3 linked regions of the Tribolium castaneum genome follow. The protein of the gene in region 1 interacts with the protein of each later gene in a pairwise test. Links are inferred from orthologs where the notes say so. Each region holds a gene or a part of one and is shown on either strand. Other genes may lie near its edges. The genes, in order: Sf3a1, Sf3a2 and noi.

Region 1 (4,096 bases):
ATAACACAAACTCACACTAATCCAACACAAAATAATCAAAAATCAAATAATTAACTCACCCATTGGAAAAATTCGATTAAAAATGAAATTTTCCCGCATATAAACAATAACAAACCACAGGTTATCAACCTTACCAACGCACAACTCCCAACTTGGAAGCGTTGGTAAAAGAGGGCAGCATAAACCACAAACGTACTGTCAAATTCTTCTGTCAATTATCTGTCTGTTTTGAAGCGTCCTCTAACGGTGTAGAGTAATTTAGCTCAAATGTTTAAACATAAATTTTTATATTTTTTTACTTTTATTATGTTTTTTAATTTATTGAACTAAATATTGATCTGTTGAAGCTGAAAACTATCAGAAGTTATAGGTACAACGTTTTTTCAAGGTTCGCTAAAATGTTAAATACTATGTTGAATATAAATTATTAGCTGTTTTAAAACTATAAAAACACCAACGTCGCATTTTACTAAATAATTTTTTTAAATAAGATTAATAAAAATGTAAAATAATTATTATTGATTAGCTTTCCCAAGTATAAATTACATTATCTATTATTTTTTTGAACTACATGAATAATTTATAACACCTAATTCAAAAAAAAATGCGACGTTAGCGTTTTTTTAGTTTTGAAACAGCTAATATATTTTATTTCAGTTTATCGCAGAATTCTGCAACAGCGCATTTGGATTTTTTGGAGTGAAATAAAGCACATATTGAAAGTTTCTTTATAAGAAAAAAATATATGTTAAGCTAAATCTCAGTAACAAATTTTGAGCCAAGAACCCAGAAACTTTCAATTTGAGCTCTACTTCACTCCAAAAAATGCAAATGCAAAATTCTACTATGAGTTGAAATGAGATATAAGCTGTTTCAAATCTATAAATTAGGTTTCATTAATCGTTCTTTTTGATCCGCAACCACAAGCGTTAGTTGTAATATAGATATTAACGTAATACATAATATTATAATACATAATAATAATACATAATATTTGTAAAAAATATAAGAAATAACTACAAAAGTAAAAAATATAAAAACAGTTTACACGCGTAAAATGTTGGTATAGAATTCTGTAAAGACCGCTTGTGGCGCCTCTAGTGGTTTGGAGTATTCATCAATTTTATTTTTTATTGCCATCTCTCTCTTCATTTTACGTTGAGCAAGCGTTTGTTAGCGTGTTTATTTAGCTTATTGTAAGAAAAAATAGTGAAAATGCCGGTTTTGGAAGCAAATAATCCAAATCCGGACGATCCCGGACCGATAAATCCAGTGGTGGGTATTATTTATCCACCACCAGAGGTGAGAAGTATCCTTTGTGAAAATTTCAGATTTGTCGGAAAATTCAGGTTAGATTGTATTTTTCCTGACAATTTGCTAAGATATCGTCGATAAAACAGCCAGTTTTGTGGCCAGAAACGGGCCAGAATTTGAGGCCAGGATCAGACAGAACGAATTAGGGAATCCGAAATTTAATTTCCTGAATCCTGGTGACCCCTACCATGCGTATTATCAGCACAAAGTCAACGATTTTCGAGAGGGGAAAGGTAAGGAACATAAAAATATATTAATCGAGTTGATCAGGTTAAAGTAGACCTATGGTTCTTTTATTAGGTTGGTCACACTGAAGAATATTTGTTCTTTAACCCGGCGTTACTCAGTTGGGGTGTGACAGACCCCAGAGTAAAAAAATGCTTTGGTTTTTTAGATAGGAATGTTATATGTATGCACCTTTCAGTAGATTGCAAAAACATTTCGAATATGATGTAATATATGATTTTCATATAATATAATATAATTTTCACCTGGCTGTTATAATATGTGTGTTGTAGCCGATTTTATGGCTCTGGGGTTTGTTACACCCCACTTACTTACGTTACTACTTTTTACCAAAAATTTTGCTCTATAAAACTAGGTAAAGATTTGACTTTTTTGAAATATTGGACTTTATGTAAAATCGAGTGTAAAATGCTTTGGTATAGTTTCAGAATAACAAACACATTCTTTGATGTGTGTGTCACACCCCACCTTAGTATTGGTGTCCTAAAAACTCACCTGAGTAACGCCGGATTAATAAAGTTTTTCAAACATTAACTAATTTTGAACACTTGTTTATAATGTGAATGTAAAGTGGAATTACTGTTTTTATGCAAAAAAAACCTTTTAGTTTACCGTTCAAGACAAATCGTTTCATTCATCATTTTTCTGCGAAAAACATTCAAGTTCAATTATAAAAAAAAATTATTCTCCTTTTTTATCATTGTTGGTATTTTCGTAGTATTATGTAGCCAAGGTCTGAAGGCGTTTCCGAGACGTAACTTTAACTTTGTAAATAAACAGTTAAGCTGTCTTATCTTTTCTCTAAACTCCATGAAAATACCAACAATTATTCAAGTTTAATGTGGTTTTCATTAAGGATCTTTTTTTTTGAAATTTTGTGAAAACTACACGTATGACATTGCTCTGGACTTCAGAATGCCAAACAAATCATTGGGTGGTATAAATAAAAATGAAGTAGATGCTAATACTACAGTCCAGTGGAGTAAAGACATGGGTGAAGTAAATGCTACTTTTTTAAGTAAATACTTTACTTTCGGGAACAAAAGACTATAGTTAAAAGTAGGCACTTCCTGTTATTAGCAGATACTTCTCCATAGTAGTATATCCCATTTCAGTTCATAGTAGAATTTTTTAACAGCGCATATGCATTTTTTAACATGAGAGTTTCTGGTGGGTTTTCTTAGCTCAAAGTGTGAATTCTTTTCTTATACAGAAACTCAATTTGGGCTTAATTTTTACTCCAAAATACTCACATCCGCTGTTGAAAAATGCAATTCTACTATGAACTGAAATTAAATATACCTACTTCGAAATATAATTAAAAAAATCAATATTTTACTTTAGACACATTACTAACAGAATCAAAAGAAAATTTGGAGTTTGAAGGAGGGCGAACAACTTCATACAGAATTTTAAAAAATATGAGTTACAGATTTCGTTTAGTTAATAGAAGAAAAATCTTTGTGAACAAAAACATGTTCTGATATCAAAAATTGTTTTTTTACGAAAATTTCTTCAGTACCAAAACTCTAAAACACTAAAAATTTTATTTTTGTATATTTGGATGAAAGGTGGATTTATCAAAATGGCAGCAATGTTCGACGGTGGGTTCACGAAGAAGACCTAAAAAGCAATCCTTCAAAAATTAAAAGTGAAGACAAAAGGTTCACTATATTATATGCGGGATGTCGGTTTGCTTTTTTGGAAGGATGTGACCTTTTAATGGATGTGGCGAATAATGACAGAGGCTATCACAAAACTATGAATGGAGAAATATTTCAAACATGGGTGATTAACCAATTAATTCCTGCTTTAGCAAAACTACCATTTAAATCTGTTGTGATAATGGATAGTGCTCCGTGTCACTCGATGCAATTGGAAAAAATGCCCACGTCGTCTTCTACCAAGGGTAAAATGTAGGTATGGTTGATTAATCATCATATAGAATTTGATTTAATACTTCACTAAAAATCAGTTGTAGGATTTAATAAAACCTTTAAAAGCAAATAATTAAAAACAGTACGTAATAGATAAAGTTTTAAATGACCATGGACATGAAGTTCTTTGATTACCCCCATATCATCGCTAGTATAACGCAATTCATTGGCATAGGGGTTTTCTAAGAACTATTATAATAAACATACAAATGAGCAACCTTTGGACAGAAATAAAGTTGCAAATCTATGGTCGGAATCACTCATAAAATGTACACCCGAAATGTGGCAAAATTTCTGTAAACACTGGGAATAATTAATTGCTTCAGATTGGACAAAACACATTGCAAATATTTCTCCATTTATTATTTCTCTAAGTGAGTCTGATTCAAAAACAGATTTTGATGTTTCAGATTCAGAAATTTAATACTTAACACTTGGAATAATTTGATGTCTAATTTGTTAAATTCTTTTTTAAAGTATTTTTTTTAATATAATTCCGCTATGTGTAAATTTCATTTCAATTAAAATTTTTGATTTTATCTAATGATATTGTTTGACTAATACAGAACCGAAAACCGGACCGCAACTTAACCTGAACT
Region 2 (2,984 bases), on another chromosome or scaffold:
TAAAGTGCCGAATTAAGGCAAAACAAGGCCGGTGTGCACCCGTTTTCAACATTTTCATTGACAAAAAAAAATAGATATGGTAGAGGTTAAGTATGGCTTGACAGAGGGTCTTGAACAAGACTGGACGTATGGATGATCCTAATAATAATATGTCGTAATACAAAAATAATAAGGCTCAAGTTTACTTTGTATGATACACCATCATACCACAGATGATACTAGTAATAATTAAAAAGGTCAGAATATTTAATTATACGTAAATCTTGCCATAGCCTTGAAAATTAACTATTCGGGACACCGGACATATTAAAACGATCAAACTCAGAATTTTTCTTCCACAGTTGAACCAGTTGAACCACGATTTTAAGAGAATGTAGCCTCAGATCGTTATTACATGGGCTTAAATATTTTACAAAAACACGCAAAAAATCGTTTTTTTCGTTGATTAAATAATATTAGCAGTTGATCTTTCCCTCTTCTCAGTCACTTCTCCGAGAAAGAAAGACAATAAATAAATACTCCATTCGTTTGGGACCAGTTTAATGTTTATTAACTTTTTTGAAATAATGAAATACAGTGTTATTTAGTTCAGCTTAAAAAAATCAATTTTGTTAATGAGGTGGCGGTGGCACCGGCAGAACCGCCCCCATCAGCGGCGGCGGCGGCGGAATGGCGTTAAACATCGGGGGTCTCGGTGGTGGCGGCACCGGGATCATCGGTGGCGGCGGCACTCCACCCATCATACCCCCAGGCCTTGCAATAATCGTGGTCGGTTTCTTCGCCTCATTCTTGAACGCAAACTGGAGGAAAAACTGCTTTGTATCGATATTCCAATGCGTCCAGAACTTATTATCCGTCTTCTCAACCTCCCGACTCGGCACTTTGAACGCAATTGTCTCGTAGGGTTCCGCTGCGAAAAGCAAATACTGCCATTTGCGGTCCGGGGGCTCAATTTTCTGTTCATAAGCCGACATGAATCGATGCCGAGGAATCACATTATCGGTGATTTCCGGATAATCAATTTGGAAGAGTAGACTTTGTTGGCCTGTCTCAGGGTCTCTTTGTTTCGTTACTCGGTAGCCGGGTCTCCCAATTTTGACGAATCTTTTCGGCTCAACTCTGGGTTTTTCGGGTTGGAGGAGTGTGGGGGCGTCCTTTGCTTCCTTGGCGGCTCGGCGAGCCAAGTTGGCTTGGTGCTTCTTGCCTTGGGTGTGGGCGAGGTAGCTGCCCTCGTTGTTGTGTAGTGTGAGACATAGCTTGCACTCGTAGGAGCCCAAATGGTTTTTCATAAAATAGGGGTCCTTTTGGAGGTCGATGGTTTCTAAAGCTAGCTGGCGGAGACGCTCGCGGCGGTCGCGGTTGGTTTCCGACCAGGAGGCTACGCCGCCACCGCCGGTCTTGCCCCCCGGGCGATTTTGGAAATCCATTTTGCACTTTTATTTATGCAATTAAAAACGATTGAGGTTACATGTAACTGACAAGAGCGCAACCATTTATTAGTAACCTTCTTAACACCAACATGAGAGTATAAAAATGTCACCAAGTTTAATTTTGCATTTTGAAAATTTACATTAGACGTTATTTTTTCATTAAAGTGATAAGTGCAAATTAGATTAGAATAGGGCGAGATGCACTTTACAATAAATAAGTCCAAGTACGAGACCATTTTATTAATAAATAGGTGTTAGTGGCTATTGGCTCCATTGACAAATGTTGGCGATCCTGCTTCCGACCTTTCCGAAGTTGACAAGTTCTTTCCAACATGGTGGGTATTTCATTTGCTGCAAATTTTTTCATTTTTCTGACTTAATCTCAATCATCTTTTGTAATAATTACTTTTCGTTAAATTGAAAAGTTATTTTGAACAATTCCCTATTAACTAACATGCGTATTTATTTCGATTTGTTGCAATTACAAGTGTTTACAACTTCGTTGTGGTTATGTTCCAGTCGACCCATAAGAAGAAGACTAGGAAGTTGAGGGGCCACGTGAGCCACGGACACGGCCGCATTGGTAAATAAACCCTCCTCTTTTTAGCAGTCTTTGTTATTTTATGATGATACAAGAACGGGCGGTATGAATAAATTTTGATTAATGTTCTCGACTGATCTTCGTTTTGAAATAGTTATTTTAATTAGTTTTGGTCGGAAGTTAAAAAAGTATATTACAGGTAAGCACCGTAAGCATCCTGGAGGTCGCGGTAATGCCGGTGGTATGCACCACCACAGGATTAATTTTGACAAGTACCATCCAGGCTACTTTGGAAAGGTTAGTGGAAGTTGTTTTTTTTTGGGTAAAGTACTTAAATAATTTTATTTCAGTTGGGTATGAGGAATTACCATTTGAGGCGTAACAGCAAATGGTCTCCCTCAATCAATTTGGATAAGTTGTGGACTCTCGTTAGTGAGCAAACACGATTGAAATATAAAGACCACCCTGAGGGAAAAGCCCCAGTTATTGACATTGTCAAAGCTGTAAGTTTTTTTTAATAATTGTTTGCAGATATGCTTTAATGATGAAATGCTGAACGGGCGGTCTGATTAGAATGCTGATGGTTCACTTACTGACTGTTGGCTTGTGATCTAAAGATTTTTTTTGTATTTGTAGAAATTATTTGGTTCTTGTTTTTGTTTCAGGGTTATTACAAATTGTTAGGTAAAGGGCGCCTTCCTAAACAACCCGTCATCGTTAAAGCTAAATTCTTCTCCAAATCCGCTGAAGAAAAAATCAAAGCTGTTGGAGGAGCGTGCGTTTTATCGGCTTAATTTGTAAAAATAAACACATTTTATAAGTTTTTCTTGTTTTTATTCACATCCTTATTTTGACACTATCAGTGAAGATGTTTTTTGGAATCGAAGATCTTTTAATCGAAGTAGATGGTAATTTTTGCACTTTAAAAAACTCAGTCGGCCACTCTTACAATCGTCTGTTACCTTTATCCAGGGCATAAAATAAAAAAAAATGCATTGTATTATGCTAAACTA
Region 3 (4,130 bases), about 7.4 Mb from region 1:
ATACGTTACTGAAATTATCGTTGCGAAAATCGCTGCCAGTAACACGGGCAGTAGCTGGAAGCCCCACTGGAACCCCGTGATTACGCAAAAACTGATTCAAATCGCAGTTTTCTTACCTGGTACGTCTCTTGAGTCGAAAAACTCGAGAAGACCTCACCGAACCAACTGGACTTGAGGGTTTCTTCATTGTTTAAGTTGTATACCGCATTTAATACGTCCATTTTAGCTCGCACATTATAGAAATTAGACTCTGATGATTAAAGAATTAGTGATTAAAGGTTGAATAAAATCACAAACCTATTTGGATGAATTTACCCACTTATGTGTCAAAGTCAAATCTGGTCAAATCACAGGCACAAACAAATGCGCATCGTTCGGTAAGTGAGAAAAATTGCAGCCGACTGTGCATTCAACCGAACTCTAAAAACACGCTAAATGAGTACTTAAATTATTATTTATTTACGCAGAAACTACTGAATAATTTCTTAAGTAACAGGAATAATTTTCACTCTCTCTATCCCTATTTCGGGCTCAGTTTTGTACGTTCGTGCTAACGAACAGTCGAAAATTCCCCTTCCCAAGGCGACCATCAAAATAAAATGTCAATATTTAAAGTTTTGTTTATGTTTTTTATTGATACTTATTGTTAATACAGCACAAATTACAATAAACCTTGTCTTTTAAGATCCTCGTAAGTCTTTCTGTTAACGACGTTCCCTTGCGAATCCTCGTACTCTTCCTCTGTTTCAGGTTGCCAACGCTCTGCCTGTTTTTGCACTTTGAGCTTCTCCCACACTGGAAAACAACCGTAACAAGGTAAGAAACCAAAATTGCAACTTCTTACGTGCTAGGGCATCCTCAATTTGCGTCACGTTGGCAAAATGCGCGGTATTGGGGATTCCCAGACAGCGCATTCCATGAGCGTGTCTCCACTCCGCAAAGTGTCTTTGAAACGCCTTTGGTCCTTTATAGACGTAATTGCCGCAAATTTCGCAGTTGTAACTGATATTCAAACCGTGGAGTTTGTACAACCAGTATGGAATCGGCTGCAATTACGAAACAATCAATTTTACCAACTTACTTTCAAAATCACATACTTTTCCATCCCAGCCCAAAGGTAAGTTTTTGGGGTTGTAGGGAACGTCATCGTCGGCTTCATCGGGACTTTCCTCCTCACTCTCCTCATTTTCACTATCGTCTCTTTCACCATCCGTCCGCGCTTGTTTTCTCTGGACATTTTCCTTAGTTGCCGCGCGTTGAGGGGCGACCAGCTCGGCCAACCTATAAACTTGTGCCTCAAGACAGGCCAGTTCTCTTTGTCTCATTTGCTCCTTTTCCTTACTGGCTTTGCCAGATTTGTTTTTAGTCATTAGAGACGGATCTAGTGAGCCTTTGCCCTTGGTTGAAAATAAACGCTGGGCACGCTCTTCCAACGTCCTAAATAAATAATTAGAATTTTATTTATGGCAAGACGTAAATAATTACCCGCCACATTTTAAACCAAGAGCCATTAGGGCCGACTTCAATCTGTCCAAACCTAAAGAAGCCAATTCCTCCCAACTTGAAAATGCGGACAAGTCTAAATGGGCCCCAACGTTCGCCAAGGCCGACCCTGTCTCTTTCTGAAAGTAAATGAAGTAGTAAAAATAAATTAGTTTTTTACCAAATTACGGGCCATCCTGGAACAGTCCCATTCTCCCACTGGACCATAACATTATCAACTTCGTTTTGCAAATCAGCATCAATGTCCATCAAAGGTTTGACTCTTTGCACGAACCAAGTTAAATACTCAATCAAGCAAAGCAAATATTTGCGATATTCTCCAGTTTTGCGTTCTTTAGGAATGTCATAGAGCTGGTCAAAAGTGCCCAAATATGTGATATAATCAACCTTTTCAATGCCTTTCAAATTGATATATTTCTCGTAACATTCGTGCAAATCCAAATATTTCCCATAACCTTCCTCATCCGTAAATTCAACCAAATCTTGAAAAAACAAACGTAATTAAACAACTGTGATCACACGAGCCTAGCAAGACTCACTTGCCATTTCTTCAGTGGGATTTTCACGCGCTTTGGCTAGTTCATCGAACTCAACAGACATTGGAATACTTATCTGAGAAAAAAATCATTACACAAACACACAAAATATTCAAAAACTATACCTCATTAGGATGCTTCCTGTAAAAATCTTTAATCTGCTTGAGACGATTGTAAAACTCCTGAAACTCATTTGGACCTGTAAGGGCAGCGACTTCCGCTTTTCTTTGCCCGTCCTTGTCCTCATACAGCTCAATCAAACGATCAGTGGAGGTCATATATTTGTCTAGCAGAAATTTAAGGCGATAGTCCGAGTTTATTGCCTCGCGGTACTAAAACAAAGACTCTGTCAGGGGGCAAAGCGCCACGAGAATCACAACTTACCGTTGTTTTTTTATGTAAAATTTCTTTAACCATTGCGTCAATGAGACGCTCTTTTTCCTCGTGATAACGCCGTTGTTGCTCCAAAATCGTCTCCATTGCGACTTTTTTTAGAAAATTGCGAAAATTATTTATTTACCCGACGCCATCAAATGTCGACTGTCAAAAAATGACAAAATGTCAGCGTAGAATAAGAGAGAGGTGCACCATTATTGTCACACTAGAAAATCACTAAGCGGTTTTTCTTTGACTTTACAATTTTTTTACGACTACAGTTGTGTCCCAAATGAAATTTTACGTAAATAGTTATGCCACAATAACATTTTTAGAGCTTTAATATTCTTAAAAAATTAAATTAAGGCTAAGGCGACTTTTTATTGGTCCGGTTGGTAGCAGTGTCTTTAATCGTGTGTCAGTAGTTTGGTATTTTCATATTCTATGTTCTAATTCATTCTATTTTGCGCCGCAAATGTAGTGTTGTACTGCAGCTGTTGTTAAAACTTGAAAGTCATCAAAAATGAGTCGTGACGAGTCCTTCGTTGCTGTGAAAAACACTGCAGAGTCCATGGTTCCGTCAATCGGGTCCGATGATGAAGATTCATTTGTCGTTTTGGAAACTTCAAATTCCATCAGCGAAAGTTTGTCTTGCAGCCCTCCAAGGGACGAAATCTTGCCCCCAATAAGGACAAATAAGGTTCACGAAATGGAAAATCTAATCAGGATGAAAATATCACAAATTACCGTTGATCCGTTGCCAGAATTACCAGCAGCTGTTGATGCGATTGTGCCCTCAGTTGCAAGTATTGCAATATCGCCGGATTCGTCGTATGAAGAGATTCAAAAACAAGTGGAAGAACTGATTAAGGAAAACGAAAAGTTGAAGAATATCATCGCACAAAATAACATGAGTATGAAGGCGCAGTATACGAGGTTTTTGGCCTACAGGGATGAGGTCACCAATGTGATGAAGTCCTACAAAGATAAGTTCAACGATGCCAAAATGTGCATAGATAAGTATAAAGAAGAAAATGCAAAGTTGGTTAGTGACGTTGAAGTTTACATCAATCTTAAAAAGCTCCATGAAGAAGAAATCTTGAATTTGAAACTGAAGCTTAAGGAATTGGAAAATTTGACCAACGGCCCCAACTTTTCAGTTGTTGACACAAGGAAATTAGCAATGATGAAGGATTTAGAACTGAAACAGGAAGAAATTGAAAGACTGACGCAAAAATTGGTGAATGTACCGAACCTTGAACAGGAATTACAAACCAAGCAGCAACAAATTGACGACTTTAAACTGGATATTCTCGCCGCAAAAAATCGCGAAAGCGACCTAATTGACGAAATCCAGTCAATGAAGACAACAACCACCGACCTCCAATCAAAATTGGATAATTTAACAAAAGAAAACGCAAAACTCGTCCAATCATCGACGGCAGCCCAAACCTACGACCAGCTCCTCAAACTGAAAGAAACGGAAATCTTGAAACTGAAGGAAGAACAACAACGCACCGCTTTCGTCGAATCCACCCTCAGTGATGAGATAAAAACCCTAAAATCGCAACTTAAGGAGCTCCAAGACAAGTACAACCCGCGTTTGGCCGAAGATTATGCCCAATCCCGGGCCCAGTTGAGCGTTGCCCAAAGGACAATCACAGCATTGGAACAGGAAAGGGAACAGAAGATTAAAGAAATCGAAGATTTGCGTAA

Evidence for each region.
Region 2: the proteins of Sf3a1 (region 1) and Sf3a2 interact in a two-hybrid assay, tested with the Caenorhabditis elegans proteins (2 studies listed by BioGRID). The link is inferred for Tribolium castaneum from reciprocal best matches to the Caenorhabditis elegans genes prp-21 and repo-1.
Region 3: the proteins of Sf3a1 (region 1) and noi interact in a two-hybrid assay, tested with the Caenorhabditis elegans proteins (2 studies listed by BioGRID). The link is inferred for Tribolium castaneum from reciprocal best matches to the Caenorhabditis elegans genes prp-21 and prp-9.

Annotation. Positions count from the first base shown.
Region 1 is NC_087397.1:12,582,731-12,586,826, reverse strand, and holds the start of Sf3a1 (splicing factor 3A subunit 1), read left to right. Parts: upstream 1-1,140; 5' UTR 1,141-1,215; coding exon 1,216-1,309; intron 1,310-1,382; coding exon 1,383-1,547; intron 1,548-4,096. Other genes in the region: peroxidase, read right to left, coding at 60-99.
Region 2 is NC_087402.1:2,914,691-2,917,674, forward strand, and holds Sf3a2 (splicing factor 3A subunit 2), read right to left. Parts: upstream 1,545-2,984; 5' UTR 1,428-1,544; coding exon 612-1,427; 3' UTR 524-611; downstream 1-523. Other genes in the region: mRpL19 (large ribosomal subunit protein bL19m), read right to left, coding at 1-58; RpL27A (large ribosomal subunit protein uL15), read left to right, coding at 1,763-1,765, 1,950-2,013, 2,171-2,268, 2,322-2,474, 2,637-2,765.
Region 3 is NC_087397.1:5,206,112-5,210,241, forward strand, and holds noi (splicing factor 3A subunit 3), read right to left. Parts: upstream 2,663-4,130; 5' UTR 2,520-2,662; coding exon 2,424-2,519; intron 2,372-2,423; coding exon 2,165-2,371; intron 2,116-2,164; coding exon 2,043-2,115; intron 1,986-2,042; coding exon 1,672-1,985; intron 1,623-1,671; coding exon 1,486-1,622; intron 1,438-1,485; coding exon 1,098-1,437; intron 1,047-1,097; coding exon 845-1,046; intron 796-844; coding exon 662-795; 3' UTR 609-661; downstream 1-608. Other genes in the region: neuropathy target esterase sws, read right to left, coding at 1-66, 117-221; NF-kappa-B essential modulator, read left to right, coding at 2,938-4,130.